7 linked regions of the Callithrix jacchus genome follow. The protein of the gene in region 1 purifies or fractionates together with the protein of each later gene. This does not show direct contact. Links are inferred from orthologs where the notes say so. Each region holds a gene or a part of one and is shown in the gene's direction. Other genes may lie near its edges. The genes, in order: EIF3F, EIF4G1, PRRC2B, EIF4E, EIF3B, DDX3X and EIF4B.

Region 1 (4,648 bases):
AGTATAAAATATACTTGAAACATTTCCATTCTAAATTGTCTGCCTCTCAACCCTGCTCTTTCCCTATTTCCTTAAATGTCTCCTTTCTTTCTCAGACACCTTCCTGAAAGAAAGGCTGGCACTTGCTGCTTTCAGTTCAGACTGGCCATTCTCTCACACCAGATTCCTAGTTTCTGTGCCCACCCTACCCTCAGTCCCCCACTGGCGTTGCTCTACTAGGATTGCTACAGACTCCAGGTCATCAAATCCAAGAGTTACTTTTCAATCTCCTTCTGATTGGCTGTTCACCTGTGTTTTGGGGAACTAAAAGAAAGAATGCATGTCTATGTAGAGCATTTTCAGGGGAGCAGGATCATGTGAATTCTAATAATGGAAGATTTCTCCAAGGAGAAATCAACTCTTGGGCATAGAATCACGGCTAAGAAGTTCAACTTCACCTATCTACTTGCTAGCTGGATGCTAGGACTTGACCCAATTAAGGGAGTTGATGGGTTTTTGTTTTGTTTTTACAGGCAGATGTTATCAGCCCCATTATACCAAGAAGGAAATTGAGGCTAGGAAAAAAACTTGTAGATTGTCGCTAGTTACACAGTGGGTTAGGGTCAGAGCTCCCTCCTTCACATAGTGATGATAATCGCTATGACCTAATAACTACTGTACATCAGGTATGTGCTAAAAGCTTGACAAGGCAGTACCTCATATAATCTCCCAAAGTACAAACTAGTGTATACAGCTTACAACTCTACTTGAATGTCTAATGGATATCTCAAAGGTGACATATCCAGAAATGAAATCAGGATCTTTTCCCCAAAACCTGTTCCACCTACAGCTTTTGCTCTCAATTGATGGTGACGTCATCCTACTAATCGCTCAGTACAAAAAAAAATTGCAGTCCTCCTTGACTCCTCTCTTTGACACCTCACATACAATTTTTCAGGAAACCCTATTGTCATTACCTTCAAAACAGATCCATAATCTTCCTGCTTCTCAGAACTTCTATTGCTACCAGCCTGGTCCCAGCCATCATCATCTCTCACTTGGATTACCTAGTGGCCTCCCAGCCGGTCTCCCTGCTTTTCCCTTTCTCACCTTCCTCTTCCTAACTCCCCCCACTCCCCAGACTATTCTCAAAGCAGCCGGAGAAATACAGCTAAGTTCTCCTTCTTGCTCATTGCAGCCTCAAGCTCCTGGGCTCAAACAATCGTTCTGCCTCGGTCTCCCAAAGTGCTGGGATTACAGGGGTGAGCCACCGCGCCCGGCCTTAAAATGCTTTTTTTTAAGGCACTTTGATTTCCATGATCTAAGTCTAAAACACGAATTTCCACCACCGCGCTGCTGTCTGGTTCCACCTGGCGGCGGCTGCACAAAGTGTTTCTCTTTGAACGCCGTGCCAAGTTTACCCGGAACTACTTAGCCCAGCTCTCCCTGAGTGCTCCTCGGGCCAAAAGCAAACAGCACAAATTCCGGAAGAAATTACCAACAGCGGGACCATTTAGCGCTCCGGCTGTAACACCAGTAACCAATAAACAAAAAGCTCTAGTTCACGTGGTGTATAGTCAGCCTATCAAGCTCCTGATATTCCTGAATGCCCTCGTTTCCGCTCCTGTCGCATTCTTTCTCGACAAGATGGCCACGCCGGCGGTATCACCAAGTGCTCCTCCTGCCACGCCAGCTCCGGCCCCGGTGGCGGCCCCAGTCTCGGCCCCAACCTCAGTTCCAGCCCCAGCGCCAACGCCAGCACAAGCTGCGGCTCCGCCTTCCGCTGGGACTCCAGCCTCATCCTCAGACTCTGCGGCAGCAGCGGCTACGACTGCGGCTCCTGGCCAGACTTCGGCCTCAGCGCAAGCTCCGGCGCAGACCCCAGCGCCCGCTCTGCCCGGTCCGGCTCTCCCAGGGCCCTTCCCCGGCGGCCGCGTGGTCAGGCTGCACCCAGTCATTTTGGCCTCCATTGTGGACAGCTACGAGCGACGCAACGAGGGTGCTGCCCGAGTTATCGGGACCCTGCTGGGTGAGTGGTCATAGAAAGTTAACATTCTTTACTTTCTCCCACTTCTCATTTATCTCACTTCCCTATCTCATTAATTCTTTCATTCTTGGCGTTCTTTCCTCCCATCCCCAGTGACCTCTTAATCTATTTTTCTGTTTTGTCTTCTGCTGTGACTTCTCAAGTGATTTGCTCCTCTCCTCTCTCTTCTCTCTTCTCTCTCCTGCCGGATTGCTGTCACTTTGAGTGACGTAAAATAACAAAGAGTAATTGTGTCATTTGCTGAATATTTTATGCCAGTGGTTTACATTTTTGAATGTTCCCCACAGCAGGTTATGGCAAGTATGATGAGCCCCATCTGCCAAAAATGAGTGCACATGCTGAGTGGGAAGTCAGGAACCCTTGACTCCCTAAATCCAGTGACCACGTATTTCTGCTTTATCCACCGACTAAATGTCATTGTTTTCCAAGTATTGACAGAGTTTTCTAACCAATTGGCAAAGGAGTGGGGACATTTGCAAAAAGGCATTCCTCCCAGCAAGTAAACCGGTTTGGCTGGAACCCATTTGGGATTTTATAGTATTCTGCTGTCCTAAACTTTTGAGCCTGATTCTCTGATTCTCAGCATACCTTAATATTAGTACCTAATGTGAGAAACCCTGTTCTCCCATTTTCCATTTGGACACAAACTATTGTATTATCTGTTTATATCTCTGCCCTTAATTTTCAGGTCAAAGAATAACCCATTCTCTGCTTGTGTTCCAAATTTGGGGAATAGATACTCTGTATTAAAGTAGTTTGTAAAATGAAAAAGCACGAAAGAGGGATTGTTGATAATTCCTCTCTGGAGACTATACTGATCCCATGAAATCCATCTCCATTCCATGTTAGTTCCAGATTTTTTATTTATTTTTTAGTAGAGACAGGGTTTCTGCGTGTTGGTCAGGCTAGTCTCAAACTCCCAACCTCAGGTGATCTGCCTGCCTCGGCTTCCCAGGGTGCTGGGATTACAGGTGTGAGCCACTGCACCTGGCCAGTTCCAGATTTTAAATAGCTTTGTGAATCCACTTTACTTACAAGCATCCTTTCTCTTTCATACTCTTGAACATGTACTGGTTCTTACACCATAAAAGACAATTGATATATTGCAAAGCAGACAAGATGTGTAAGCAGACTCCACACAATTTTAGCCATGTGACTTGACGCAAATTACCTAAAATCTGTTCTGTCAGGATCTACTTTAGACTTAGTCTTCGTGAGAACTAAATTAAAAACTTCTGACTATGCTGGTACACATTAGGTACAGCTATTAGTTGCCATTCACCACATCAGGCCTGGACCGACCCAATACATGCCAAAACACATTTTCTCTCCTTTATCTATTTTTGACAGTATAGCATTTTACAGAAACTTAAATTCATATCTTCTGAACGTTGCCTGTCTTTTCTCAAACCAAGCCTTTGTGTTCTCTTTGCCACAGGTGCCTTCCTTGCTGTCCCTCATTTATTTAACTTCTGCCTATCTCCCAGGTTCCCAGGAACAGCATTAAGTGCCAGTCCTCCATCCCATACCTGGACCCTCACTCCATTCTTAACCTTCCACAGCATGATGGTGTTCTGTAACTGCGCCCTGCTTTGAGCTTCTGTAATAAATTGTTTTTCCTCACTGACCTGGCACTCAGCAAATACTTACTCTTTTGGTTACACTGTCTCATTTTCCAAGCTCACTAGAGCTATTTAAAGAGACAGTTCGCTACCCACAGTTTATACTTTAGCACCCCAAATGTTCCAGTGATCCAATCAGACCAGCTGTAATCTAATCTAGAGCTTCAGATCTTCTTTCAGACTGGAATCATGGTACAGTGCTATAGGTGTTATAGGGGCAGTGCTTCCAGAAGAATAAAGAATAGATTCTGCTTGCTATAAACTAAGAGTTTCCTTAGATATTAATTCACAAAACATTTTATTTGTCTAAATGAAGTCATTGGTGCTTTTTTTGTACCATAAAACTGTTAGGTATTTAGAATTCAAAGTGTAGTAAGGTAAGCTCTCCTGTAACCTTAAACTCAAGATAGAAATATACTCTTAAATGCAAATAACTAGAATGTAATATAATAAATGTTCTAATAGAAGGGTGTCATGGTGGCATGGAACTACGGAAGACTTAACTATTTCAGAAGGTTAGGGAAAAGTTCACAAAAAAGATGGTGTTTGAGCTGGGCATTAAAGCAACTACAGGAAGTTAAAAAGGCCTGATAAGCCCACTATCTGAAACATTCAGTATTACAGGAATGTAGGTGACAGGAGGTAGAGCAGGAAATGAAGCTAGCAGAGGGCAGAGCCCTAAGAAGTATTGAATAATTACAAGTGTAAAGTGCTGTGAAGGAGAATTACCTGGGTCTCTGAGAAGACAAAATGGAAGTGTAACCTCATTTGATGCTCTTTGGGGAGGATCCTGAGCATTTCAGCTAACACTGAATAGAAATTAGAAATCACTCTGACTTTGGGAGGCTGAGGCGGGCAGATTGCCTGAGCTCAGGAGTTCGAGACCAGCCTAGGCAACATGGTGAAACCCTGTCTCTACTAAAATACAAAAAAGAAAAAGCCAGGCGTGGTGGTGTGCACCTGTAGTCCCAGCTCTTGGGGAGGCTGAAGCAGAAGAATT
Region 2 (4,166 bases), on another chromosome or scaffold:
CCCAGCCCCCGAGCAGTGCAGCCTCCCGAGTGCAGAGTGCAGCCCCTGCCCGCCCTGGCCCTGCTGCCCATGTGTACCCTGCTGGATCCCAAGTAATGATGATCCCTTCCCAGATCTCCTACCCAGCCTCCCAGGGGGCCTACTACATCCCTGGACAGGTGAGGCTGGAGGCTTGGAGGCTGGAAGACACAGACCCTCACTTCCCTTACCCTGACCCTCCAGTTCCATCCCTTTTCCAGATGTGGGACTTCCTTCTGGTCATTGCCCAAAGTTGGCTTGTCTTGTCTTGACCTATGTTATTTTTTGGAGTCTGATATGGTACTCATAGCTCCCTCCACTCCTTCTCTCCCCCTCCCTGACCAGGGGCGTTCCACGTATGTTGTCCCGACACAGCAGTACCCTGTGCAGCCAGGAGCCCCAGGCTTCTATCCAGGTGCAAGCCCGACAGAATTTGGGACCTACGGTAAGCAGGGGAGGGAGTAAGAGGTGAGAACCAGTCCAAGGGAGCATCTAACCTCATCTACTGTTTCTAAAGCAGAAGCCCCTTCCTAGGCTTGGCTTTTGGTGTAAAAATGATAAGATTAATAGGTGGTAGGAATTGGTGCTTAATATTTAACTGGTGTTGATTGTGGGGAGAAAATTTGATTCTGTTGCCGAGAGAGTTAAAGTCTTCCCCACAGGGAATGCAGGACCGGGCGCTGGCCTCAGGGCTGTTGGTGGGCTCTTCCTGTGACACTACTTCCGCGGGTGACAGCCCATGTACCGCAGATTTGGGGGGTTTTTGTAGCTACCTTTTATTTACATTCTAGGAAAGGATTAGTCTGTTCTTTATGGCAGTGGCTTCCAAGTTTTTTGATCACCTATCAGGAAAAATTTTGAGTATGAATGTCTCATACATGTATGTTTTTGTTTATATGTATGCAAAATATAAACAAAGCACTCTGCTTGTCAAAGTGGAACTGAGGGATGAAATTGAAGAATGCATTCTGGCTGGGCGAGGGATCTTGCCTGTAATCCTAGCACTTTGGGAGGCAGGAGGGTTGCTTGAGGCCAGGAGTTCGAGATCAGTCTGGGAAACAGTGAGACCCTGTCTCTATTTTAAAATTTAAGGCGGGGGCCGGGTATGCTGGTTCAAACCTGTAATCCCAGCACTCTGGGAGGCCGAGGTGGGCAGATCATTTGAGGTCAGGAGTTTGAGACCAGCCTGGCCAACATTGTGAAACCCCGTCTCTACTAAATTTTACGATTTTTTTTTTTTTTTGAGACAGAGTCTTGCTCTGTCACTCAGACTGGAGTGTAGTGGCACAGGTGTGTGCCACCCCACCCAGCTAATTTTTTGTATTTTTAGTAGAGCCAGGGTTTCACCATGTTGACCAGGCTGGCTTCAAGTGATCTGCCCGCCTAAGCCTCCTAAAGTGTTAGGATTACAGGTGTGAGTCACCACGCCCAGCCCCTGTCTCTACTAAATATAAAAATTAGCTGGGTGTGGTGGTGCACTCCTTTAATCCCAGTTATTCAGGAGGCTGACACAAGAGAATCTCTTGAACCCAGGAGATGGAGGCTGCAGTGAGCCAAGACTGTGCCACTGTATTCCAGCCTTAAAAATTTTTTTGGCTAGGCTAGGTGGCTCTCACCTATAATCCCGTCACTTTAGGAGGCCAAGGTGAGTGGATTGCCTGAGCTCAGGAGTTCGAGACCAGCTTGGGCAACATGGTGAAACCCCGTCTCTACTAAAATGCAAAAAATTAGCCAGGTGTGGTGGTGGGCACCTGTAGTCCCTGCTACTCGGGAGGCTGAGGCAGGAGAATTGCAGGAACATGGGAAGTGGAGGTTGCAGTGAGCTGAGATCATGCCGCTGGTCTCCACCCTAGCGACAGAGTGAGACTCTGTCTCAAAAAAAAATTTTTTTTAAGGAAAAAAAAAGACGCACCCCACTTAAGAGATAATTTGCTTTAAGGAATTAATTTTTCTTCATCCCGAGCCTAGTTCATAATGTTACCTTGTTTCTTTGCTCCTTTTTAAAGGGCTGGAGACAGGAACTAGACTGAAGTTGAGTGGAACAGGGTTGGCACATCTCTTTCATTCCCAGCCAAAGACCTGCTTCTGTTTCAGGTTCAGAGTGTGTGTACAACACACCAGAGTACCTCGTACGGTAGAAGGACAGACATAAATCCTCCTGGTTGCTGGCATGTGGTGGGGAAAGAGTGCCTGCCTGCAAGGGGGGTGTGTGTGTATGTATGTGTGTCAGTGTTAGGAATTCTTGTAAATGCAGTTTAGACTGGTTCCCCAGCTTTGACAGACACCTAATTCCCTGGAGGAGGAGGGCAGGGCAGGGCCAGGGGCCGGCTGTGGGTGATGAGAGGTTCTGGGGTTGGAGGTGTTCAAGCAGGCATTAGTGTATGCTTGGGTCCTGACGCTACCTCCATTCTTCTCTGTTCCCCCTCCCCCAAGCTGGCGCCTATTATCCAGCCCAAGGGGTGCAGCAGTTTCCCACTGGTGTGGCCCCCGCCCCAGTTTTGATGAACCAGCCACCCCAGATTGCTCCCAAGAGGGAGCGGAAGACGGTGAGTAGCAGCAAGGGGCTCTGGGACATCTGGGAAGGGGAAAATCAAGGTCAGGTGCTACTGGGACATTTGCACAGTGACTTGAGGAGGAAGGACCTGGGAGTGGGCCGAGAATGGGGTCTGGAGTGCTCGGGTTCTTTTGATTGAGATTCTAAGATTTCACCATAGAAGCAGGTCATGGGAAGACTGAAGTTGCTAGTGAGGAAGTTCCTGTGAGACCTGGGTGCTGGGGGTTGGAAGAAGTATGCTTGGTTTTGGGTTTCTGGTGGCTTGCCTTGGAAATGGTTTGTTTTCTGTGGCCCCAGCCCCCACCCACCCTAGTCCTGGAAGCTCTCAAGGCCTCCGCCTCTGCTCAGTCCTCAAGCCCTGGGCGTGGTGCCCAGAATAGGGTGCCAGAGCTGGGGAAGCCGCTGAGTCACCCTGGCTCCACCTACTGGATCTGGGCCCTGCCCCCAGAGATCAGGCACACTAGCTACAAGTGAGCCGATTGGGTGCTAGGTGGGGGTCCTGGGCCCCAGGGCATGCAGCCTCTGACTTGGGGACTGCCAGTGGGGTAGGGATGAGGGAGGGAGGGGCATTGTGATGTTCAGGGCTGCTCTGTGAGGTCAAGAGTCTCTGAAGGGTGGGAGCCAGGTCAGGGACTACAAGAGCAGCCAGATGGGCTGAAAGTGGAACTCAGGGGCTTTCTGGTATCCACCCACCTGCTTCCCAGTGGGGGCTGGGGAGTTGGCCTAGAGTCTTAAGTGTGGGGCAGGGTGGAGAGGTGGGCTCCCCCTGCTTCCCACTCATCCCATAGCTTTCTTTCCCCAGATCCGAATTCGAGATCCAAACCAAGGAGGAAAGGATATCACGGAGGAGATCATGTCTGGGGCCCGCACTGCCTCCACCCCCACCCCTCCCCAGGTACTGTCTGCTTTCTGAGCGATACCCTGGCTGGGATGTCTGTTCTGCCCTGGACTCCCAAGTCCCTTGATCTTTTCTTTCAACTAAGGGATTGATTTCCCTGCTTTCCTGGATTTCTAGGCAGAGCTAAAGTAGAAATGGCTCTGGTAAAGAAGGGTTTTGGGACTCTTCAGTGCAAACTTGGTAACCCTTTGTGTCCTGCAGACGGGAGGCGGTCTGGAGCCTCAAGCTAATGGGGAGACGCCCCAGGTTGCTGTCATTGTCCGGCCAGGTAAGTAAGAGGGTGGGACGGAGCTTTTATGTGGAAAAGGAATGTTGACAGTTTAAATGCTGGGGTGGTTGAGTGTCTTGAACTGGGTACCAGAGAAGAATGACTTAGATTTCAGGTTGTGGAATTTTGAGGGTGAATTGGATTTTGGATGAAAATGGAAGTATAGCTTAGGTGGGAAAAGATGATGGGGGGGGTGTCAAGTTGGGAATGCCTTGGCTGGGAGGTTGGGAACAGCCGCAGTGAAGGACTTGCCTGTAGTCACTCATTCTTCTTTCCCGTGGTGCAGATGACCGGTCACAGGGAGCAATCATTGCTGACCGGCCAGGGCTGCCTGGCCCAGAGCACAGCCCTTCAGAATCCCAGCCTTCATCACCTTCTCCGACCCCATCGCCATCCCCAATCTTGGAACCGGGGTCTGAGCCTAATCT
Region 3 (3,590 bases), on another chromosome or scaffold:
AGCCGTGGCCCAGTGGCTCAGAAGAATCTCTGGGCCCAGGGAGAGCTGTCAGCGCCCTGGTCCCTCTTTGCGCCTCGCGTCACTGTGGCGTTTCGGCACTGAATGCACTGGTGTTGCAGTTAAGTGGGAGAATGAGCAATCAGGAGAGTGGTTTGGGTTTTAATCATTACAGTAAGATGCTCTGGATTGGGGAGCTTTCTGGAAAGGTAGGAAAAGGAACTGCTGACATTTAGTAGGCATCAGGACTGATGTGACTTCCCATCAGATCCTAAAAACAGGACCCACTGGCCACAGGGCTGCATCCCAGCAAGGGGAGGAGCATGGCCTTTCCCGGTGTCTCTTTCCCCAGACTTGCCCTCTGACCTCTGCCAGGGGACTTTTATTACTGGGCTTGTGGGGTCATTCCTTCCACACTACAAACCAGCACCCGCTTTTTGCTTCCTTCGTATCTGTCTCCACCCCCGGTAACCATCCCAGGTCCCCTAAGCGGGATACAGAGGTGGCTCTGTCAGATTCGGGCAAGAGCATCTGGTCCCTCTGCTCCCCCTGTGCAGGTGTGAAGGCAGCACGCTCTGGCCCTGTGCTCCAAGGGTTTGTATAGTCAGTCGACCCTTGTTACATGTGGGAGATTACTGAGACTGCTTTGTGTTTGCAAAATGAGTGAAACAGACGTGCCTGACGCATGGTACCCTGTGAGAGGTTAACACCCTTACTGCATGCGCCATGAGGTGACCCCATGAATACAAAGGTACTTGCGGGCCTGAGGAGTGCTCTGCAAGCCAGGCCTCTGTGCTTGCGAGTTGCTCTGGCTGCACCCCTCTGCTCCGCTGCCCTTTGCCTGTCAGGCCGCCGCCTCCATCACGGCATTCCACTCTTATTCCTCCATTTCCAGAGAAAGGGGTTTTTGTGGATTTTCCTCCCATTCCATCTTTTCTATTCTTATTTTCACTCTCCTGGCTTCATTTATTTCTGTATTTAGTATTTGTTTTCCTGCCATGTCTTTCACATAGACCAAAACATCAGGACTGTGTGAAAAAGATAGCTGGACAGCAGCACCCACCCCGGAGCAGAGCTGGGAGGAGGAAGGCGGCCGCAGGTCTGAGCACATGCTGTCCTGCTGCTGCCACAGGCAGATCCCAGCAGCCTCTGGCTACAGAGCCTTCCTCAAAGGCAAAACCCAGAGAACAGAAGCTCATGGGACAAGAGTTGCCTGTGTCTATGTAGACATAGGAAAGGCAGCAGATTATTCCTTGGAGAATACTTAGAAAGTAGAAGCCTTAACTGTTAGCTTTGTTTCAGTGGTGTTTAGGAGGGTTGGGGAAATTGCTATAATTGTAATGTTTCCCAAAGGTTTCTGGAACTAGAGCTGCTGAGATGTGCCCTGCAAAAAAAAGTTCCTTGGTCAGGTCCTCGGGGGTGTGCTGTCTCTGGGGCGGCCTACCGGGAGAGGCACTCGCCAGCACAGAGGCTGAGCAGGCCTGGGTGGGCAGTCCTGTTGAACTCTGTGCCTATGGCACTTAGGCTTTTTGACGGCAGAATTTTTTTCCCACACAACCCCTAATTAACATCCCTGGGAACTAACTAGTGGTCAGTGGAACACATTTAGAAGCATGTCATAGATTTTTATTCCTCCACGCCCTCTTCTGAAAAGCGAAGACTAGAGCAATAGCACGGTTCCGTCTCAGTGTCAGGCTTCTAGGCCTTTTGTCTGGGGCACTGCGCTGTGTTGGTCCAGAGGCTGAGATGGCCAGTGTCCCTTTCTGCCTAGCAGGACAGCCGTGCCCACCTGCACAGGGACTCAGCCTCCCTCTCTTGTGGTGTGTCTCCTTGAGCTCTGTCCTGGAGGTGCCGCGGTGGTCAGTGACAGCCACTCCCTTGCCCTGCTGCATTCTTGGCTGTCTTAGGTCTGTGGTTTTTTTCCCCATCAAGAGGCCCATAGACTGTCCAGAGAGAGCACCTCTGGCCCAGGCCCTTCCTTCCTCACGCCTCCTCCATGTGCTAGTCTTTGACTCCATTTCTGTGGTGACACGTTGTGTATTCTCAACCCCTGCCTTTGGTTTTTTCAGGCCTAGCTCTGCTAGCCCCAGTGGGAAGCCCTCTGGATCAGCAGTTAACATGGGCTCTGTGCAGGGACACTACGTGCAACAGGTAGAAGATGGCTTTCCAGACCCTTCAGCCCTGGACATTTAGGCCCGTCTCCAAGCACCAAAAGAGAAGGGACTGTCCAACCTATCTGAGTGCTCCTTGTCTAAAGAGAGCCATGTCCTAGCAGTTAGAGCACGGAACTAGGAGCTGGGCCACCCGCGTCCCTCCTGGCGAAGGCATTTCTCCTCTTGACGGGCGTCTGGATCCTTCCTTGTCCTGCAGAGAAGGGAGGATGCCGATTCCTCTGAGGAGGTGACGCTGGAAGGTGGACCAGCCCTGGCAGGTCGGGGCTGTGAGGCGCCCTGGGAGACTCGGCTAGGTTTGGGGGTCAGCTCTAGGAGCTGGGGTGCGCAAGTCAGTGGTGTGTCTTGTCTTTGTCTTGGCTGGGTGGGATCACAGGTGAAATTAAGTTTTCCCATTTGATAATGAAAAGTACATTTCAGTGTCTTTCCCTGCAGGCACTATTCTCTTCACTAATCTCTAAAATGTGCTGGGGCTCAGAGCTTAGGCCCCTCAGACCTGGGTGTTTCAGTTACTGTGCCTGGCTGGTAGAGTGGGAAGTGATTGCTCGCATTGGTTCCCCTGGGGGTCATGAGAATTGTGTGGAATAAGCTTCTAAAGCTTTCTTCCAGAGTTCAGACTTGGAGGGGGCAGATGTGCTGGCTGCTCTGTGACTTTCCCATCCCACCCCCATATAGAGCCACAGACCAGGGGAGCCTTGACTGGGAATGGGGCCCCAGGGCAAGGTTATAGAGTGGGAGTTGTGGCTGAATTGAGGCCAAAGATCTGGGGCAGGGGGGCAAGTTTGCCTAGGGCCATAGCAGACAGGGCCCCCAAGGTGTACAGTGGGGCACTTGGATCTACTCGAAAGGGCTTTTTGCTTGTGGGGCAGGAGGTGCACTGATTTGAAAAGGTTCTTCCAGTTGGCCTTGGGACTAGAACTGCTTCCGCCCTGGGTGTGCCATCGCGGAATTCCTTGTGGAGGACTCGGTGTCTTCCTGCCTCTCCGAATCACTGCACTCGGGGCTCATAGGGAGGGATCAGGGACGGCAGTTGCGCCACTTGCCTTACTACGAGGGGGATTTGTAAGTCTGGTCCTTCAACCAAGGGATGGATGACTTAGGGGAGCTTTCCCTGCACTCAGGAGCAGGAAGGGAGTGGTGGGAGCTATGTATCCAAACGGACGTTTCAGCATCAGGGTCACTTTGTTTTTCCCGTTGATCTGTCCAAAGGCAAAACAACGAGTGGATGAGAAACCCAGCCTGGGAGCCGTGAAGCTGCAGGAGGCCCCCTCAGCTGCCTCCCAGATGAAGCGAACCGGAGCGATCAAGCCTCGGGCTGTCAAAGTGGAGGAGAGTAAGGCCTGACGGTGCCTGGCTGCCACCTCGCCTCGCCCCACTGGGGACGGTGCCGCCACGCGACCTTGACACAGCTGACGCTCGGGA
Region 4 (4,166 bases), on another chromosome or scaffold:
AGATTTCTTTTTACCTCAATTATATTAGTAACATTTGACTCACAATTTTATGTTAAAATTAAGTGCTGGTCAGTCAGTGGTCATAAAATGTTTGGTTTGCCCTGTTGTGATTTTTTTCAAATATTATTAATTTTTCTTTTTAAAATTAATTTTTTGAGACAGTTACACTCTGTTGCCCAGGTTGGAGTGCAGTAGCACGATCTCAGCTCATTGCAACGTCCCCCACTTGGGTTTAAGTGACTCTCTTGTCTCAGCCTCCTCAATAGCTGGGATCACAGGCCTGAGCCATGACAGCATTTTTTGTAGAGACAAGGGTTTTGCTGTGTTGGCCAAGCTGGTGTTGAACTCCTGGCCTCAAGTGATCTGCCTGTCTCAGCCTCCCAAATTGCTGGGATTTCAAGCGTGATCCACCGCTCTCAGCCATGTATTTTTCTGTGAACATAATTTATTTCTAGATCAAAAGGTATAGGGATTTTCTACATTTCATGCTGTATAGGGTTCACTAAGAGAAAGGAGTTGATCTGTCATCATATTTTAATGTTTCTGCCAGCATCAAAACCCAATTGTGGAGGTTTTACTTTATTTTAAACAAGAATTAGAGAAATTAATAATTTTTTTTCTATGGAAGTTTTGTATTTTTGTCAATATTAAATGCTTTTGAGTCTATATTAAGACTTCAGATTTTCAAAGAAAGATTCTTTTTTTAACCCTTCCAATTTGCGTTAGTCTTGCTTTCTGGTGTTTTCAATAATTAAGTATAATTCAAAGGAATGCATTGCATTGTAATGCAAATTTAATAATTATCACTTTACCATAAAATTTCTTTTTAATACTTTATTTTAGGGGGAAGGTGGTAAATCTTTTGGAAGGTATGAAAAAACTATCTTAGTATTGTGTTGGAGGATTTAACTCCATTAGTATGTTTGTTCCGTGATTGATTGATTGAGACAGAGTTTCATTCTTGATGTCCAGGCTGGAGTGCAGTGACGCAATCTAGGCTCACTACGACCTCCACCTACCGAGTTCAAGTTTGCCGCAGCCTCCAGAGTAGCTGGGATTATAGGCATGCACCAACATGCCCAGCTAATTTTGTATTTTTAGTAGAGATATGTTGGTCAGGGTGGTCTTGAACTCCTGACCTCAGCTAATCTGCCCGCCTCCGCCTCCCAAAGTGCTGGGATTACAGGTGTGAGCCACCACGCCTGGCTATTCCTTTATTTGTATTTGATATTGCTTATTTTTGAATTTTTGCTATATTCCTTCCCTCCTTTTTTTTTTTTGAGACAGAGTCTCACTCTGTTGCCCAGACTGGAGTGCAGTGGCACGATCTCAGCTCACTGCAACGTCTGCCTCCTGGGTTCAAGTGATTCTCCTGCCTCAGCCTCCCAAGTAGCTGGGACTACAGGCGCATGCCACTACACCCAGATAAGTTTTTGTTTTTAGTAGAGTTGGGGTTTCACCATCTTGATCTCCTGACCTTGTGATCCACCTGCCTTGGCTTCCCAAAGTGCTGGGATTATAGGTATGAGCCACTGGGCCAGCCTTATTATTTTCTTAAAGATTCAAATTTTTAAGGTGACATATGAAGCTCTCTTCCTCTGAAAACTTGTCAGCCTTATCTCATATTCACTTTACTTATGAGCCATAGCCACACAGTCTAATTTTTATTTCTCAGCTCTCAGATGTGCTCATTCTCTTAACATTATCCTTTTGACCTCATGATATTTAAAGGGGTGACTTCTCTAATTTTGTAGATGAGATTAGAATCTCCTTGTTATACAGTATCACAGCCCCTATATTTACTCTTTGGCACTTGTGACAAGTGCCATTTTGTTCTTGGAAACGTGTGCATGAGTCACGTCTTACTTGAAAATTAGATTGTCAAGTTCTAAATTAAATAGATTAATTTAGAACATAATTTCTAACTATTGCATAATTTCTAATCTATGCAATATGTTCTAAAAAAATATTGCATTTTTAGTGGGCTGGGTGTGGTGGTGGGTGCCTGTAATTCCAGGTACTCGGGAGGCTGAATCGCTTGAAACTGGGAGGTAGAGGTTGTAGTGAGCCGAGACTGCGCCATTGCACTCCAGTCTGGGTAACGAGCAAAAATCCATAAATAATGTAATTAACCAGGAATATTGCAAAAATGGAAGAGTAAATTATGCTAAAAGAGTAAATTATGCTAATTTCCTGTTGTACTCTCAAGTCTGTATTTTATAATATAAAGACTAATAACACTAAATTTTTAAATTTATTTACTTGTGAATAAAAATTAATGGCTACTTTTTTTTTTTTCTTCTAGGAGGGTATACAAGGAAAGGTTAGGACTTCCTCCAAAGATAGTGATTGGTTATCAGTCCCATGCAGACACAGCTACTAAGAGCGGCTCCACCACTAAAAATAGGTTTGTTGTTTAAGAAGACACCTTCTGAGTATTCTCATAGGAGACTGCGTCAAGCAATCGAGATTTGGGAGCTGAACCAAAGCCTCTTCCAAAAGCAGAGTGGACTGCATTTAAATTTGATTTCCATCTAAATGTTGCTGAGATATAAGAGAAGTCTCATTTGCCTTTGTCTTGTACTTCTGTGTTCATATATATATATATATTTTTTGGCTAGAGTGTCCACTATCCCAATCAAAGATTTACAGTACACATCCCCAGAATCCATAAATGTGTTCCTGGCCCACTCTGTAATAGTTCAGTAGAATTACCATTAATTACATACATTTTACCTATCCACAATATTCAAAAAACAACTTGACATTTCTCTACTTTACAGGAAAAAAATTCTGTTGATGTTCTATTGTATGCAGGAGCATATTTTGCTGTTTTGAAAGATTATGATGCATACAGTTTTCTAGCAATTTTCTTTGTTTCTTTTTACAGCATTGTCTTTGCTGTACTCTTGCTGATGGCTGCTAGATTTTAATTTATTTGTTTCCCTACTTGATAATATTAGTGATTCTGATTTCAGTTTTTCATTTGTTTTGCTTTTGTTTTTTTCCTCATGTAATATTGGTGAAGGATCCAGGAATATGACACAAAGGTGGAATAAACATTAATTTTGTGCATTCTTTGGTAATTTTTTTGTTTTTTTTGTAACTACAAAGCTTTGCTACAAATTTATGCATTTCATTCAAATCAGTGATCTATGTTTGTGTGATTTCCTAAACATAATTGTGGATTATAAAAAATGTAACATCATAATTACATTCCTAACTAGAATTAGTATGTCTGTTTTTGTATCTTTATGCTGTATTTTAACACTTTGTATTACTTAGGTTATTTTGCTTTGGTTAAAAATGGCTCAAGTAGAAAAGCAGTCCTATTCATATTAAGACAGTGTAAAAAACTGTAAATAAAATGTGTACAGTGAATTGTCTTTTAGACAACTAGATTTGTCCTTTTATTTCTCCATCTCTATAGAAGGAATTTGTACTTCTTATTGCAAGGCAGTCTCTATATTGTGTCTTTTGTGGTGTCTTCCATGTGAATAGTATAAGTTTGGAGCACTAGTTTGATTATTATGTTTATTACAATTTTTAATAAATTGAATAGGTAGTATCATATATATGGAATTAAATTGATGTGGCTATCTTTGTTTTTTTTATAAAGTAAGGCACAGTCCTTCAGTCTTAGGTAAATAATGTACTCTCTTAATATGTTAATACTCATGAGAATTGGGATCTGACGCATCACCATTTGATTAGTGAATTGAGTTGTTTGTATGTAAGTTTCAAAATGATAGTATAGGGAAAAGACAGGTGGTGGGGATGTATGCATTAAGAATTTTGTTGGTGTTGCAATCTAAATCGAATGGAATAAACAGGTATTAAGCCATTTATAGTGATAAATTGTTGTAGTATGGTATTCTGTAAACTCGAAAACTTGATCTACTATTTGTAGGTATCATTTGAAAACAAACTTGAAAATATTTTGTACATAGTACATACTTGTATAGTGCTGTGAAATGAAGTATGGCTATCAGACCAAAGGATAAGCCAAGCTCTAGGTAGCCGAATGGAAATTACTAGTTTGAGAAGAAAATTTGTCTTTGAATGGTGACTATGACTTAATCATTTTAAAACTGATAAACTTGACAAAAACCATGTATGAAATAAACATGAAATTAATAGCACTGATTTCATTGTAGAATTTTAAA
Region 5 (4,166 bases), on another chromosome or scaffold:
ATTCTGTGAGGAGTTTAGTTTTGTTTTCACTTTGCTGGAGTTTGGCAGGTGCGTGGTGCTCTCAGTTGGCAGTAGATCGCAAGATGGTCTGTATCATTAATTCCCATTGGTGGAAACGTACAGGCAGTTGCAGACTGTCCAGACAGAGGCTTGTATCAGTTTTCTAAGTCATAAGACGGCAAGCAGAAGTACCATGTACCTTCCAAACACGTATGACACGCCTCTCCTGAGGTTTGGCATAGACTCTGTGGCCACTGTGTGGGTTCTATCCCGTGCCTGTGACTGCTGGGGTTTTTTGTTGGTGCACGTCTGAGACCCCTGCCCCTCCTGGGGTGTGTCTGCCTTCCCACATCTCCTCCCCTCCATATCCTGCCCCAGCTTCTTTTTTGGATGTACCGCAGAGGCTAAGGAGAGAGAGGTCGCAGGTCATCAGCTCTGTCTGAGCAAGCTCTGAGGGGGGACTTGAGCCCACCCCGGCTGACTTTCACTTCTCACTGCTGCCGCAGCTCCGCCCGAGGTCGTTTCCGGAAGTAAGACTTAGTACCTGGAAAGATGATGACTGTAGACAGTTTCAACAAGCATACAACTTCTCCAAAGATGTCTTATCGCTAGGAAAGTGGCTTTGGTCTTCCAGGGTCACACGTCTCTGACATCCTCTCCCCGTTGGGGTCCCTACAGCAGTGAACGTTTGCTGTAAAGGGAATTCTTTGTCCATTTACTTCAGGAAATAGGAAAATAGTGTTGCTTTGAAATACCCGTGCCCCTTCTTCCCCCCCCCCCCCCCATTTAAAGTATGGATTATGACTTAAGGGGAACTTAGCGATGGATTTTGTAAAATTGTTTTCCGAGGTGGCCGGGCATTCCCAGCTGTGCTCATGTGGGTAGTGTGACCCACGGCCAAGCCCCCCCAGCCTTGACTGCCCTTGGTTCGTTACTTCATCCTGGGGTGGAAGCGCTCACAGCTCGTGACAGGCACTCTGTTTCCTTGCAGAGATGTTCGACAAGCAGCAAGCAAACACCATCTTCTGGAGCCCCCAAGGACAGTTTGTGGTATTGGCGGGCCTGAGGAGGTGGGTGTCCGCGCGCTGAGCCTGTCTGCCTCGTGAGTAGTGCTCTGCCTGCTGCGGTGAAGACCCCTCAGGCACCTGCACCCTGCACTCTGGCTCCTCCTCCCACTTCTTGGTAGAGGGAGTGTTGCACACTGAAAGGATTTACCCCCATGTCAATGGATGGGACATTATTGAACCTTTGCGGATCCATGACACTCGAAGACTAAGGCCAAGCCAGGGCAGATGGAAATAAGCACTCGTAGATGCTTTTGTGAAGTGACAGGCTGACCAGTCTGTGGGTTGTCGTTCTTTTGTGGTTAAACAAGTGCCTTCCAGCAATCCATTTACCCCCCTGCCCCCACCCCAGGAGGTCAGTCACCTCTCTTCTAGCAGGAGGGTATTAGTTACACAGCTGTGAGGCTGCCTTACCTCTGTGGTTGGTGTCACGGTATGGGTCTTAGCTGCATTCCAGCAGTGTGTCAGAATTGTGGAGAAGCTTCCAGCTTTCTGCTCTGAGTTAAAAGAATATCCTTTTGTCACTGCTCTTCCTTGCTTCATTGTTGACACTTGCTACTGTAATTTTGGAGGCTTAGTTAGCCTCAGATAACATTTCCTGTGAAAATAATAGTGATGGCAGACATGTGTAATACTCATTGCACACTCTGAAAGCTGTGATTTGTAAGTCTCACAGTGGCCGCCAGAGGCTGTTGCTTGTTTCCATGTTGACGCCAAGGCTGGCTCCCTGGGGACCCCATGCAGTGCCTCTCAGGAGTGGGATGTCGGGAAGTATGCGTCTCTGTGAACCTGACAGTCCTTTTTGTCTCTGCAGTATGAATGGTGCCTTAGCGTTTGTGGATACTTCGGACTGCACGGTCATGAACATCGCAGAGCACTACATGGCCTCTGATGTTGAGTGGGATCCTACTGGGCGCTATGTCGTCACTTCTGTGTCCTGGTGGAGCCATAAGGTGCAGGCCCGAGGGCATAGCTTTGGCTGTGGATAGAAGCAGGGAGTGCTGGCTGGCTGCTGACTCTGGTGCTGTCCTGGGACCTCAGGGAGGGGCACCAAGCCTTGGTGTTTAACAGAATCCTCAGCTGGTGTTTGTGGCAGGAGGAGGAGGATTCTGGGTTGTAGAAGAGGTGGCGGGAGCTGCCCCTGCTCATGGTGGGGGTGTCTTACCCAGGGACCCCTGAAAGGGAGTGTGAGTGTGTCATGCACGAGTGTTTTTCTTCGGAGAGGAGTCATTTTCTTTAAAGCCTGAACAGTTCCATAACCTCAGACATGAAGATCTTCTCTTTGGAGTCAGTGGTTGAGTCTAGCTGCCACCTTACCCACAAGCTCTTATTCGAAAACTGCTGATTAAGTTTGCCAAGGACTTCTTGTATTTAGTGATTTTTTGAAAGTTGGTGGAGGTACTGACGCTTGAACTGTCCATGCAAACAGAGTCTGTCTATGAGATCAAATTCAATCAAATTAGGGTAATTTTATTGAATGAGATACTGAACTTTTAGGAATACCAGCTTATCAAATATTACAACAAGTGTCTACACTTAGAAATCTTCACATTTAAATCAGGGTGTGTTGATCACGGCCTGGGTCCAGGTATGTTCATAAGTCACTGTGGTGGGGCCTACCTTGACGCCACTTTAGGGCAGGCACAGTGGCTCACACTTGGAATCCCACCACTTTAGGAGGCAGAGGCAGAAGAATCACTTTAGCCCAGGAGTTTGAGACTAGCCTGAGCAACATAGTGAAACCCTAACCCCATTAAAAGAAAAGACCTTCTAAGCTATTGACCACTCTGCTTGAGGTATAAACATTTAGCTCCCACAATGCCAGCATGTCATAGGGAGTTTATCCTGGGTGCCAGTGAAGGCGACGTCCTTCATGAGAGAGTCCTGCTATGAAGAGAGTGGAACCGAGCGGTGTGTGGTGATGCAGTTAGCTTACATCTGGCACAGGGTTCTTGTTGCCAGCAGGAACGCGTAGGCCTGTGCTGTGATGAGCGCTGCTCCAGCTACTGTGTGCCCTGCACTCTGGGTTGATTACATATTTTGTGTCTTTAATTTACTGACCACCTCCCCTGCTGAATGTCAGCTCAGCAAAGGTAGAGCTTTGTTTGGTTCACATGTGTCCCCGATATCCAGGACCTTGTTCAGCAAGTGACATAGTCACTGTTGTGGCTCTGCTGACCCGTTTATGTCCTGGTGTGTCCCTGCCCTAGGTGGACAACGCGTACTGGCTGTGGACTTTCCAGGGACGCCTCCTGCAGAAGAACAACAAGGACCGCTTCTGCCAGCTGCTGTGGCGGCCCCGGCCTCCAACACTCCTGAGCCAGGAGCAGATCAAGGTAAGTATCCCCCACCCTCAGGTGCAGGGCATGTGGAGGTGATTATGGCATTGAAAGGAAAAGTGGTTAGGGTGGTGACTGGGGGGTAGGCCCTTTGAAGAGATGAGGGAACAGTGAAAACTGAACGGAATAGAACAGCTTTAGGATAGTTAACCGAGGTCTTCAGCTTGTTGAGGGAAGTTTTACATGAACCCGAGGGGTGGATAAAAAGATGGCAGGGGCTATTAAAAAGTCCTGGTGGGATTAGAAAGCGACTTGTCTGGGATTTACATAATGATGGTAAAATAGGCCGATGGTATTAAGTCAGAACGAAGAAGAGGGTTAAATCCCAGGAAGAAAGTCAGTCTCAACATGAAACATGGAAGAGAGCAGGTGCGAGCACACCTGGGGCACAGTGTTCTGTTAATGACTCTGGATGTCACTTCATGTCGGCAACTTTGAAGATTGCGTTTGTGCTTCTTGCTTTGAATGTTAAATCCTGAGTGACAGTAGTCTTTTGTTTCAGCAAATTAAAAAGGATCTGAAGAAATACTCTAAGATCTTTGAACAGAAAGATCGTTTGAGCCAGTCCAAAGCCTCAAAGGTGAGCCTTGTTCCCTGAAGGGAGAGCCATGTTGCGACATCCACCATCACAGCAAAGGCAGGCTCACGTCAGGGCTTTGAGGGGGCTGCTGTGTGTCTGCTCAGAGTTGCTTCTGCCCCGAAGACACTGGTTCTGTTTTTCTCCTAGGAGGGATGCAGTGGGGGACTGGGGCTGGCACGAGGA
Region 6 (4,166 bases), on another chromosome or scaffold:
AATACGGTGGTAATGGTTTCCTTGTAAACTAATTCACACCTATAAAATTAAATCGTGATGGTTGTATTACAATATCATAATCAATGTGTTAAAGGCAAAGCTATTGACCGCTTAGAGGTGGTATTCATTCAAAAACATTCTTAGACTGTCAGATTGCTTGATTTAGTGTACAGGATTTTCTTTTTCTTTTTTTTTTTTTTTTTTTTTGAGACGGAGTTTCACTCTTTGCCCAGGCTGGAGTGCAGTGGTGCAATCTCTGTGCACCATGACCTCTACCTCCCGGGTTCAAGCAATTCTCCTGACTCAGCTTCCCGAGTAGCTGGGATTATAGGCATGCACCACCACGCCTGCCTAATTTAGTATTTTTAGTAGAGATGGGGTTTCTCCTTGTTGGTCAGGCTGGTCTCAAACTCCCGACCTCAGGTGATCCACCCACCTCAGCCTCCCAAAGTGCTGGAATTAACAGGTGTGAGCCACTGCCTGGCCAGTGGACAGTAATTAAAAACATTATCTTGGTGACAAGAAAACCAGCTCTAAATCTTGGTTCTCTTACAGTGCCATGGTAGGAATACCTTGAGATTGAACCTCAAGCCCACAGAGATAAGATAGTCAGTGGAGGCCTTCAAATTCAGAAAGATTGATAATACCTTAACATGGTTCCTATTTCTCATTAATAAAATGGATTTGTGTTTTTTTAATTGAAGGTTTCTACGATAAAGACAGTTCAGGGTGGAGTTCTAGCAAAGATAAGGATGCATATAGCAGTTTTGGATCTCGCAGTGATTCAAGAGGGAAGTCTAGCTTCTTCAGTGATCGTGGAAGTGGATCAAGGGGAAGGTAAGTGATTTCTTCTCACCTTATAGGTGTGTAGAGTAACAGTTTAATAAGTTCTTATTCTGACCACCTATTTGGATGTGAGAGGCTTTTGCTACATTGAACCTGTTAAGTTGAATTAGATGAAAATTGGAATATGGTCATTGGCATAATGTGTAATCAATTTTTTTTTTTTTTTATTTCTCGAGTTTTATATGTTCTACTTAGTACATCTAGTGAATGGCCTAATTTGGTTGGGATTTTTGTGGACTCTATAACAATTTTAAACACCTTGGATTTTTTTATTATGCAAGTATGGTGAACTGACCCCACGTGCCTAATAGCTGTGGTTAGTCCTGTGTCCTGATTTTTCGCAAACAGGCCTAAAATTCTAAAAACATCTTAGTTCAAGTAAGGATTATTTTCTACCTTTTATCCAAAATCTGTCACACAGGTGAATTGTCCTTTAGTATAACTAGGATGATTGATATTTGGTGTATTATTTTCTTTTCCCCACCACTAAATATATTTGAATGAGCACTTTAAATGAAGGTTGTGAGCTGTGTGCCCATTTCAGATAAAACCTTGATCCTTTTTTTTTTTTTTTTTAACCTGTGAAGTGAAGGAATTAACCCAAAAACGTCGTTGATTCTTAATTGTGGCATCTATGAGACCTTTTAGGCTATACAACTTTATAGAGATATAAAGGTTACTAATTTTAGAAATGATTTTAGAAATATCAGTAAATGGTATTGGTTAGAGACCCTTATTTGTCAAATAACTCAGAATTGGCTTGTTGACATCTTTGTAGTTAGCCATAACTTAAGTCTCCAGATACAGTTCTAGAGCAGGGGTAGAAATCTGATAATGGTTAAATGATGTGATTCTGATTATTCACTTGTGCTGTTCAGATTTGATGATCGTGGACGGAGTGATTATGATGGCATTGGCAGCCGTGGTGACAGAAGTGGCTTTGGCAAATTTGAACGTGGTGGAAACAGTCGCTGGTGTGACAAATCAGATGAAGATGATTGGTCAAAACCACTCCCACCAAGTGAACGCTTGGAACAGTAAGTTTTTGAAATGTATGTTACTTGTGATGAAGCTTTATTAGCTAGTATAACAAATGAATTTACCAATCTTTTGATTTGAGGGAACTCTTTTCTGGAGGCAACACTGGGATTAATTTTGAGAAATACGATGACATTCCAGTTGAGGCAACAGGCAACAACTGTCCTCCCCATATTGAAAGTGTAAGTATTTTTGCTTGACTTTTTAAGACACGGGGAGATGTAAATGTTTTCATGGTACATTAGAATGTGAGATGGGCTTCATAAAGTCATATGTAGACCAAAGGCTTCATAGGTTTGTGGAAAAGGAGTGAGTTCAGTGTCACCGTTAGAAATAATTTATTACCTGAAATAGAAAATGGGTCAAACACAGGAAGAACCCACAGTCTTCTCCAGTGTAAAGCCTGGGGATTCATTTTTCTCAAAGTATAATATGATAATTTTACTTAAAGCAACTATAAACTGAGTTACAAATTAGCTGTTAGTTGGTTATTTCTATTATCATAAAACAAAAAATGGCTCTAGATAGCATTTCTAACCCCATTGAATTTCTTAACAGTTCAGTGATGTTGAGATGGGAGAAATTATCATGGGAAACATTGAGCTTACTCGTTACACTCGCCCAACTCCAGTGCAAAAGCATGCTATTCCTATTATCAAAGAGAAAAGAGACTTGATGGCTTGTGCCCAAACAGGTAAGCTCAGCCGATAAGAGTAAACATTATCATATTTGTTCTATAAAGGACTAGATAATAAAATATTTTGGTTTTTATGGGCCATGTGGTTTTGTAACTGCTCAAGCACTGCTATTGGAGTGTGAAAGAAGCCATAGATGATACGTAAATTATTGGATATGGCTGTATTCCTTAAGAGCTTTATTTACAAAAATAGTCTGTTTGCTGACTTGTCTTATAGATGGACCAAAGAAGCCACTTTTTGGAAAACTTAATTTGAGCATAAACTAAAAGTCCTAATTACTAGTAATAAGGCAGTTAAACACTGTCATGGGCAGGGCACAGTGGCTTATGCTAGTAATCCCAGCACTTCGGAGGCTGAGGCTGGTGAATCACAAGGTCAGGAGTTCAACACCAGCTTGGCCAACATGGTGAAACCCTGTCTTTACTGAAAATACAAAAATTACGCGGGCATGATGGTGAGAGGCTGAGGCAGGAAAATTGTTTGAACCTGGGAGGTGGAGGTTGTAGTGAGCTAATAAGATCGCACCACCGCACTCCATCCAGTCTGGGCGATAGAGCAAGACTCCATCTCAAAAAAGGGCCAGGGGACACTCATCTACCAATGTCTGTTCAAAAGTAATGAGCAGGGTTTGTTTTGTTTGTTTTTGAACAGGGTCTGGAAAAACTGCAGCATTTCTCTTGCCCATCTTGAGTCAGATTTATTCAGATGGTCCAGGCGAGGCTTTGAGGGCCATGAAGGTAGACATTTCTTTATAAAATGGGAAATTATTGTAGAACTTCAGTCTAATGAAAAACAGTTTTCAAGTGTAATCTGTAAATTACAAAAGTATAGGTGGAGTTAACCTAAAAATTAACTCATTTCTTAGGAAAATGGAAGGTATGGGCGCCGCAAACAATACCCAATCTCCTTGGTATTAGCACCAACGAGAGAGTTGGCAGTACAGATCTACGAGGAAGCCAGAAAAGTAAGTATGAGTTTCAGTGGTTACTAGCTTTTTCATTGATTCTAATTAAATGTTTTATGATCATGTAAAAATGATAGTGTAAAAATTTTGACTTTGAAGTTCATAACATTTTTTTGCTTACAGTTTTCATACCGATCTAGAGTTCGTCCTTGCGTGGTTTATGGTGGTGCTGATATTGGACAGCAGATTCGAGACTTGGAACGTGGATGCCACTTGTTAGTAGCCACTCCAGGACGTCTGGTGGATATGATGGAAAGAGGAAAGATTGGATTAGACTTTTGCAAGTATGTTTTTTGTTTGTTTCTTTGAGATGGTGGTGGGGTTTTTTTTGTTTTTTTTTTTTTTTTTTTTTTTTTGAGATGCCATTTCGCTGTTGTTGCCCAGGCAGGAGTGCAATAGTAATGATCTCCGCCCACTGCAAGCTCTGCCTCCCGGGTTCAAGCAGTTCTCCTGTCTCAGCCTCCCAGTAGCTGGGATTACAGGCATGTGCCACTGTGCCCAGCTAGTTCTTGTATTTTTAGTAGAGCCAAGATTTCTCCATGTTGGTCAGACTGGTCTCGAATTCCTGACCAATTGTAAGATTGAGAAGTGACATATTTCAGTCATGTAACTTCTACGAA
Region 7 (4,166 bases), on another chromosome or scaffold:
TCAAGTGATCCTCCCACTTCAGCCTCCCTAGTGCCTAGGACTGTAGGCATAAACCACCACACCCAGCTGCATTTTTCTAATTTTTGTAAAGGTAGTTTCCCCATGTTGCCCAGGCTGGTCACTGTGATGTTTTTTTAAGGTCTTTCCTCCTCTAAACTGATTTGTACTTGCGTGGTTTTTTGTTTGTTTGTTTGTTTGTTTGTTTAAATAAAGATGAGGTCTGACTGTTATCCAGACCGGTCTCGAACTCCTGGGCTCAAGTGATCCGCCTCAGCCTCCCAAAGTGGTAGGATAATAGGAATGAGCCACCACACCCAGCCATGTACTTGAGCATTTCAAAACATAGCTCAAGACTGAAGTGATTTGGAAATTCACTCAGGTGTTGTAGGAGTTTTCTGGAAATTACTAACATGTTTTTATGCCCCTTTTTGTGGCAAAGTAAAAGTATAATATATACTTTTTTTGAGTTGATATATACCTATTTCTGTAGAACTTACGTGTAAAATGTAGAAAGAAGGTTGGGTGGGATGGCTTATGCCTATAATCCCAGCACTTTGGGAGGTCAAGGCGGATGGATCACAAGGTCAGGAGTTCGAGACCGGCTTGACCAACGTGGGGAAACCCCATCTCTACTAAAAATACAAAAATTAGCTGGGTGTGGTGGCAGCCGCCTGTAATCCTGCTACTCAAGAGGCTGAGGCAGGAAAATCGCTTGAACCTGCCAAGATTGTGCCACGGCAGTCCAGCCTGGGCAACAGAGCAAGACTCCATCTCAAAAAAAAAAAAAAAAAAGATAGAATCTGATGAAACAACCTTCTAGTTTTTTATTTTTAAAACAGGATCTTACACCCAGGCTGGAGTGCAGTGGTATCATCATAGCTCACTGCAGCCTTGAACTCCTGGCCTAAAGCAGTTCCCTTGCCCCAGCATCCTAAGTAGCTGTTATGACAGGTGTATGCCACCATGCCTGGCTAAATTTTTTTAATTTTTGTAGAGATGGGGTCTTGCTACATTGCCCAGGCTGGTCTCAAACTCCTGGCCTCAAGCAGTCCCGCTTCAGACTCTAAAAGGAGGCTTCTCGTTTTAAGAAGATACTTATTGCCTTAAAAAAAAAAAAAGTGTAGGTTGTTTTTTGTTTTGTTTTGTTTTTTTGAAATGGGGTCTCACACTATCAACCAGGTTGGAGTGCAGCGACATGATCACAGCTCACCTCATCTTCCCTAGTAGCTGGGACTACCCAGCTAATTTTTCTATTTATTTTGAATCTGGGGTTTCACCATGTTGTCCAGGCTGGTCTGAAACTCCTAGGCTCAAACAATCCACCCCAAGTTGGCCTCCCAGTGTCCTAAGATTACAGGTGTGAGCCACTGCACCCAGCCAGTAGGTGGTTTTTCATAAATGCAATTGTATCATTGTCTATTGTGATGAGTTTTAAGTTGAAGTTGAGCGATGGTTACTAGAATTTGGGGTTTCATCATAGGTCCTCTTTGTATATGTATATTCTCCACATCAAGACACTTTTAACATTGAGAATGCAGACAGGCTGTAAAAGATACTCATTCCTCAAAAGGTCAAATGGCTGGGTATCCCTTAAGATGTATACATGGTTATTATTTTTCCTATTTCTCTGTGCATCAGTAAACCTTGTTCTCGGAAATATTTGGAAACCACTGGTTTAGGGATAAATCCGTCTTTGCGAGCCAAAACTGATGTGCACCGTTTTCCACACTGTTGAGATTCTGGTAGATGCATGAGCATCTGCATCCTGATAATTTGTTCTTTTCACTCTGGCTTCACAGATGCACGAAGGAGAGAGAGTGAGAAGTCTCTAGAAAATGAAACACTCAGTAAGGAGGAAGATTGTCACTCTCCAACTTCTAAACCTCCCAAACCTGATCAGCCCCTAAAGGTAATGCCAGCCCCTCCACCAAAGGAGAATGCTTGGGTGAAGCGAAGTTCTAACCCTCCTGCTCGATCTCAGAGCTCAGACACAGAGCAGCAATCCCCTACAAGGTGAGTCAGCTTGGAAGCAGTAGTTGGTTAGCTGTGCACATTCTTAAATAATGTGATGTAATGATGGAAGATGCCTTAACAGGATACCAGCATTATATAGCATCGTATAAGTTATGCTGGATTTGTTCTCTTAGTGTGCCGGAACTGGCATGTCTTAAGACCCACATGTTCCATTTTCTGGAGTTTTGATAGGCAGTTGACATCACTTTGGTAGCTTGAATTCAGCTATGATGGGAGTACTAATGCCACCCAGATCAAGTCAGAGGCTTCCCTTTTGCCACATCTTGGCAGTGTGGTAGGGGGTAACTTGCCTTAATTTCTCTAAGTCTCATTTGTAAAGAAAATAGCAATACTATTAGCCGGGTATGGTGGCAGGCACCTGTAATCCCAGCTGCTTGGAAGGCTGAGGCAGGGAGAATCGCTTCAACCTCGGAGGCAGAGGTTGCAGAGAGCCGAGATGCGCCATTGCACTCCAGCCTGGGCAACAAGAGTGAGTCTCCGTCTCAAAAAAAGAAAATAGCAATACTAATCCTGCATGATGTGATGACTAGAACGCATATGGCATTTAGTGTTTAAATTACTGCTTTCATTGTTTTCTTTCCCATATTTTAATGTTCATAACATTGAGTATGATTTTGTTTTCTGTAAAGCTTACTGCATTTGGAGGATGATTATAAGTTTCTTGACTTCCTTCTTCCTGAAACAACTGATGAATGTGATTTTGTGTTTTCCTTCTAGTGGTGGGGGCAAAGTGGCTCCAGCTCAACCATCTGAGGAAGGACCAGCCAGGAAAGGTGAGCTCATAGTGTGGGAAATGGGTTTTTCACCTAGAGGCCTAATAAAAAGGCCTCTAAAATTAGATTTTGAAGAGCATGTGTCTTGCACCTGATACTGTGTTAAAAGTTCTGGGGTTGGCTGGGTGTGGTGGCTCACACCTGTAATTCCAGCACTTTGGGAGGCCGAGGTGGGAGGATCACCTGAGGTCAGCAATTCGAGACCAGCTTGGCCAACATGGCAAATACCCCATCTCTACTAAAAATACAAAAATTTAGCCGAATATGGTGGCACACTCCCAGCTACTCGGGAGGCTGAGGCAGGAGAATTGCTTGAATCTGGGAGGCGGAGGTTGCAGTGGTAGAGGGAGTAGTGGCCTCTTTGGAGAAAGTGCCCTTTCCTGGTAGAACATTTCCTTGAAAGGAGGAGAAAAAAATCGGAAACTAAGACATTCAGTCCAGATTAGAAATGTCACCATCAGCAGAGCCAAGGTCACTGCCGAGCGTCACAGTCTTTATTTCCAGCCTGCTTTTCAGGATGGCATATCCCTGCATGGAACTTTTTAGTTGATTTTGTTTGGTTTTTGTAGTTTTATGTGCTATAGAGGACGTGGGAAGAAGGGCTTCAGGAAGGAAGTCTGGAATGGGGCCAAGGTAGTTTCCCTCAGTACTTGCAGGCAGTTTTCTTCAGCTTAAGAGAAATCTTAGGAGAGGGACGTTGATCATTTTACTTGCCTTTTATTTTTTGCATTACTGCTCTAGCAGATGAAAATAAAATAGATGGGATGAATGTCCCGAAAGGCCAAACTGGGAACTCCAGCCGTGGTCCAGGAGACGGAGTGAACAAAGACCACTGGAAGGAGTCAGATCGGTATGTGTGTTCTCGTTCTCATTATCATCCTTCCTCTGACCCACATGCTTTTGTAATTAAGAAGTTAAGTTCTTGGTTCTCAAAGCACTGCCAGATCTCTCATTGTGAGCAAACTGGAGTCAGCCAGCCTAGACAGTTAAGCTTCTGAGAATCTAGAAGTAATACATCATCTAGATAACGAGGACTATTGACTAGAGATGCCTGTTGAGTGCCTTGAAACTGCATGCTTGTAATACATGTTTGTATTAGGCGAGTCTTCTCCTAAAGACGTGGTTTTATGCTTATGTCTCTGCAGGAAAGATGGCAAAAAGGATCAAGACTCCAGATCTGCACCTGAGCCAAAGAAACCTGAGGAAAATCCAGCTTCCGTAAGTATTAAAGGCTGCTCCCAATTTCTTAGAATACTTTTTGCCATTGGACTTATTTACATTTGGAAATACAAAGTGGTTGGAAATAAGGCATTGGTCTTTATCGGAAATAGTGAAAAAAGTTTAGCCTTTTTCTGGTTT

Evidence for each region.
Region 2: the proteins of EIF3F (region 1) and EIF4G1 purify together in Homo sapiens (affinity purification with mass spectrometry; 3 studies listed by BioGRID, with this or other methods). This does not show direct contact. The link is inferred for Callithrix jacchus from reciprocal best matches to the Homo sapiens genes EIF3F and EIF4G1.
Region 3: the proteins of EIF3F (region 1) and PRRC2B purify together in Homo sapiens (affinity purification with mass spectrometry; 3 studies listed by BioGRID and IntAct, counting the BioPlex papers as one, with this or other methods). This does not show direct contact. The link is inferred for Callithrix jacchus from reciprocal best matches to the Homo sapiens genes EIF3F and PRRC2B.
Region 4: the proteins of EIF3F (region 1) and EIF4E purify together in Homo sapiens (affinity purification with mass spectrometry; 3 studies listed by BioGRID and IntAct, with this or other methods). This does not show direct contact. The link is inferred for Callithrix jacchus from reciprocal best matches to the Homo sapiens genes EIF3F and EIF4E.
Region 5: the proteins of EIF3F (region 1) and EIF3B purify together in Homo sapiens (affinity purification with mass spectrometry; 14 studies listed by BioGRID and IntAct, counting the BioPlex papers as one, with this or other methods). This does not show direct contact. The link is inferred for Callithrix jacchus from reciprocal best matches to the Homo sapiens genes EIF3F and EIF3B.
Region 6: the proteins of EIF3F (region 1) and DDX3X purify together in Homo sapiens (affinity purification with mass spectrometry; 3 studies listed by BioGRID and IntAct, with this or other methods). This does not show direct contact. The link is inferred for Callithrix jacchus from reciprocal best matches to the Homo sapiens genes EIF3F and DDX3X.
Region 7: the proteins of EIF3F (region 1) and EIF4B purify together in Homo sapiens (affinity purification with mass spectrometry; 3 studies listed by BioGRID). This does not show direct contact. The link is inferred for Callithrix jacchus from reciprocal best matches to the Homo sapiens genes EIF3F and EIF4B.

What each region holds. Positions count from the first base shown.
Region 1 is NC_133511.1:73,844,876-73,849,523, forward strand, and holds the start of EIF3F (eukaryotic translation initiation factor 3 subunit F), read left to right. Parts: upstream 1-1,610; 5' UTR 1,611-1,626; coding exon 1,627-2,008; intron 2,009-4,648. UniProt on the Homo sapiens protein: Component of the eukaryotic translation initiation factor 3 (eIF-3) complex, which is required for several steps in the initiation of protein synthesis.
Region 2 is NC_133516.1:13,295,587-13,299,752, forward strand, and holds part of EIF4G1 (eukaryotic translation initiation factor 4 gamma 1), read left to right. Parts: coding exon 1-158; intron 159-363; coding exon 364-463; intron 464-2,451; coding exon 2,452-2,564; intron 2,565-3,140; exon of another isoform or gene 3,141-3,253; intron 3,254-3,374; coding exon 3,375-3,467; intron 3,468-3,671; coding exon 3,672-3,738; intron 3,739-4,024; coding exon 4,025-4,166.
Region 3 is NC_133502.1:180,101,551-180,105,140, forward strand, and holds part of PRRC2B (protein PRRC2B), read left to right. Parts: intron 1-2,066; coding exon 2,067-2,148; intron 2,149-3,377; coding exon 3,378-3,512; 3' UTR 3,513-3,590.
Region 4 is NC_133504.1:98,582,948-98,587,113, forward strand, and holds the end of EIF4E (eukaryotic translation initiation factor 4E), read left to right. Parts: intron 1-2,305; coding exon 2,306-2,420; 3' UTR 2,421-4,142; downstream 4,143-4,166. UniProt on the Homo sapiens protein: Acts in the cytoplasm to initiate and regulate protein synthesis and is required in the nucleus for export of a subset of mRNAs from the nucleus to the cytoplasm which promotes processes such as RNA capping, processing and splicing.
Region 5 is NC_133503.1:56,669,450-56,673,615, reverse strand, and holds part of EIF3B (eukaryotic translation initiation factor 3 subunit B), read left to right. Parts: intron 1-991; coding exon 992-1,070; intron 1,071-1,878; coding exon 1,879-2,017; intron 2,018-3,274; coding exon 3,275-3,400; intron 3,401-3,905; coding exon 3,906-3,983; intron 3,984-4,166.
Region 6 is NC_133524.1:42,179,834-42,183,999, forward strand, and holds part of DDX3X (ATP-dependent RNA helicase DDX3X), read left to right. Parts: intron 1-704; coding exon 705-837; intron 838-1,724; coding exon 1,725-1,883; intron 1,884-1,966; coding exon 1,967-2,066; intron 2,067-2,442; coding exon 2,443-2,578; intron 2,579-3,233; coding exon 3,234-3,319; intron 3,320-3,447; coding exon 3,448-3,546; intron 3,547-3,669; coding exon 3,670-3,830; intron 3,831-4,166. UniProt on the Homo sapiens protein: Multifunctional ATP-dependent RNA helicase. The ATPase activity can be stimulated by various ribo-and deoxynucleic acids indicative for a relaxed substrate specificity.
Region 7 is NC_133510.1:66,526,093-66,530,258, reverse strand, and holds part of EIF4B (eukaryotic translation initiation factor 4B), read left to right. Parts: intron 1-1,799; coding exon 1,800-2,013; intron 2,014-2,751; coding exon 2,752-2,807; intron 2,808-3,542; coding exon 3,543-3,657; intron 3,658-3,952; coding exon 3,953-4,025; intron 4,026-4,166. UniProt on the Homo sapiens protein: Required for the binding of mRNA to ribosomes. Functions in close association with EIF4-F and EIF4-A. Binds near the 5'-terminal cap of mRNA in presence of EIF-4F and ATP.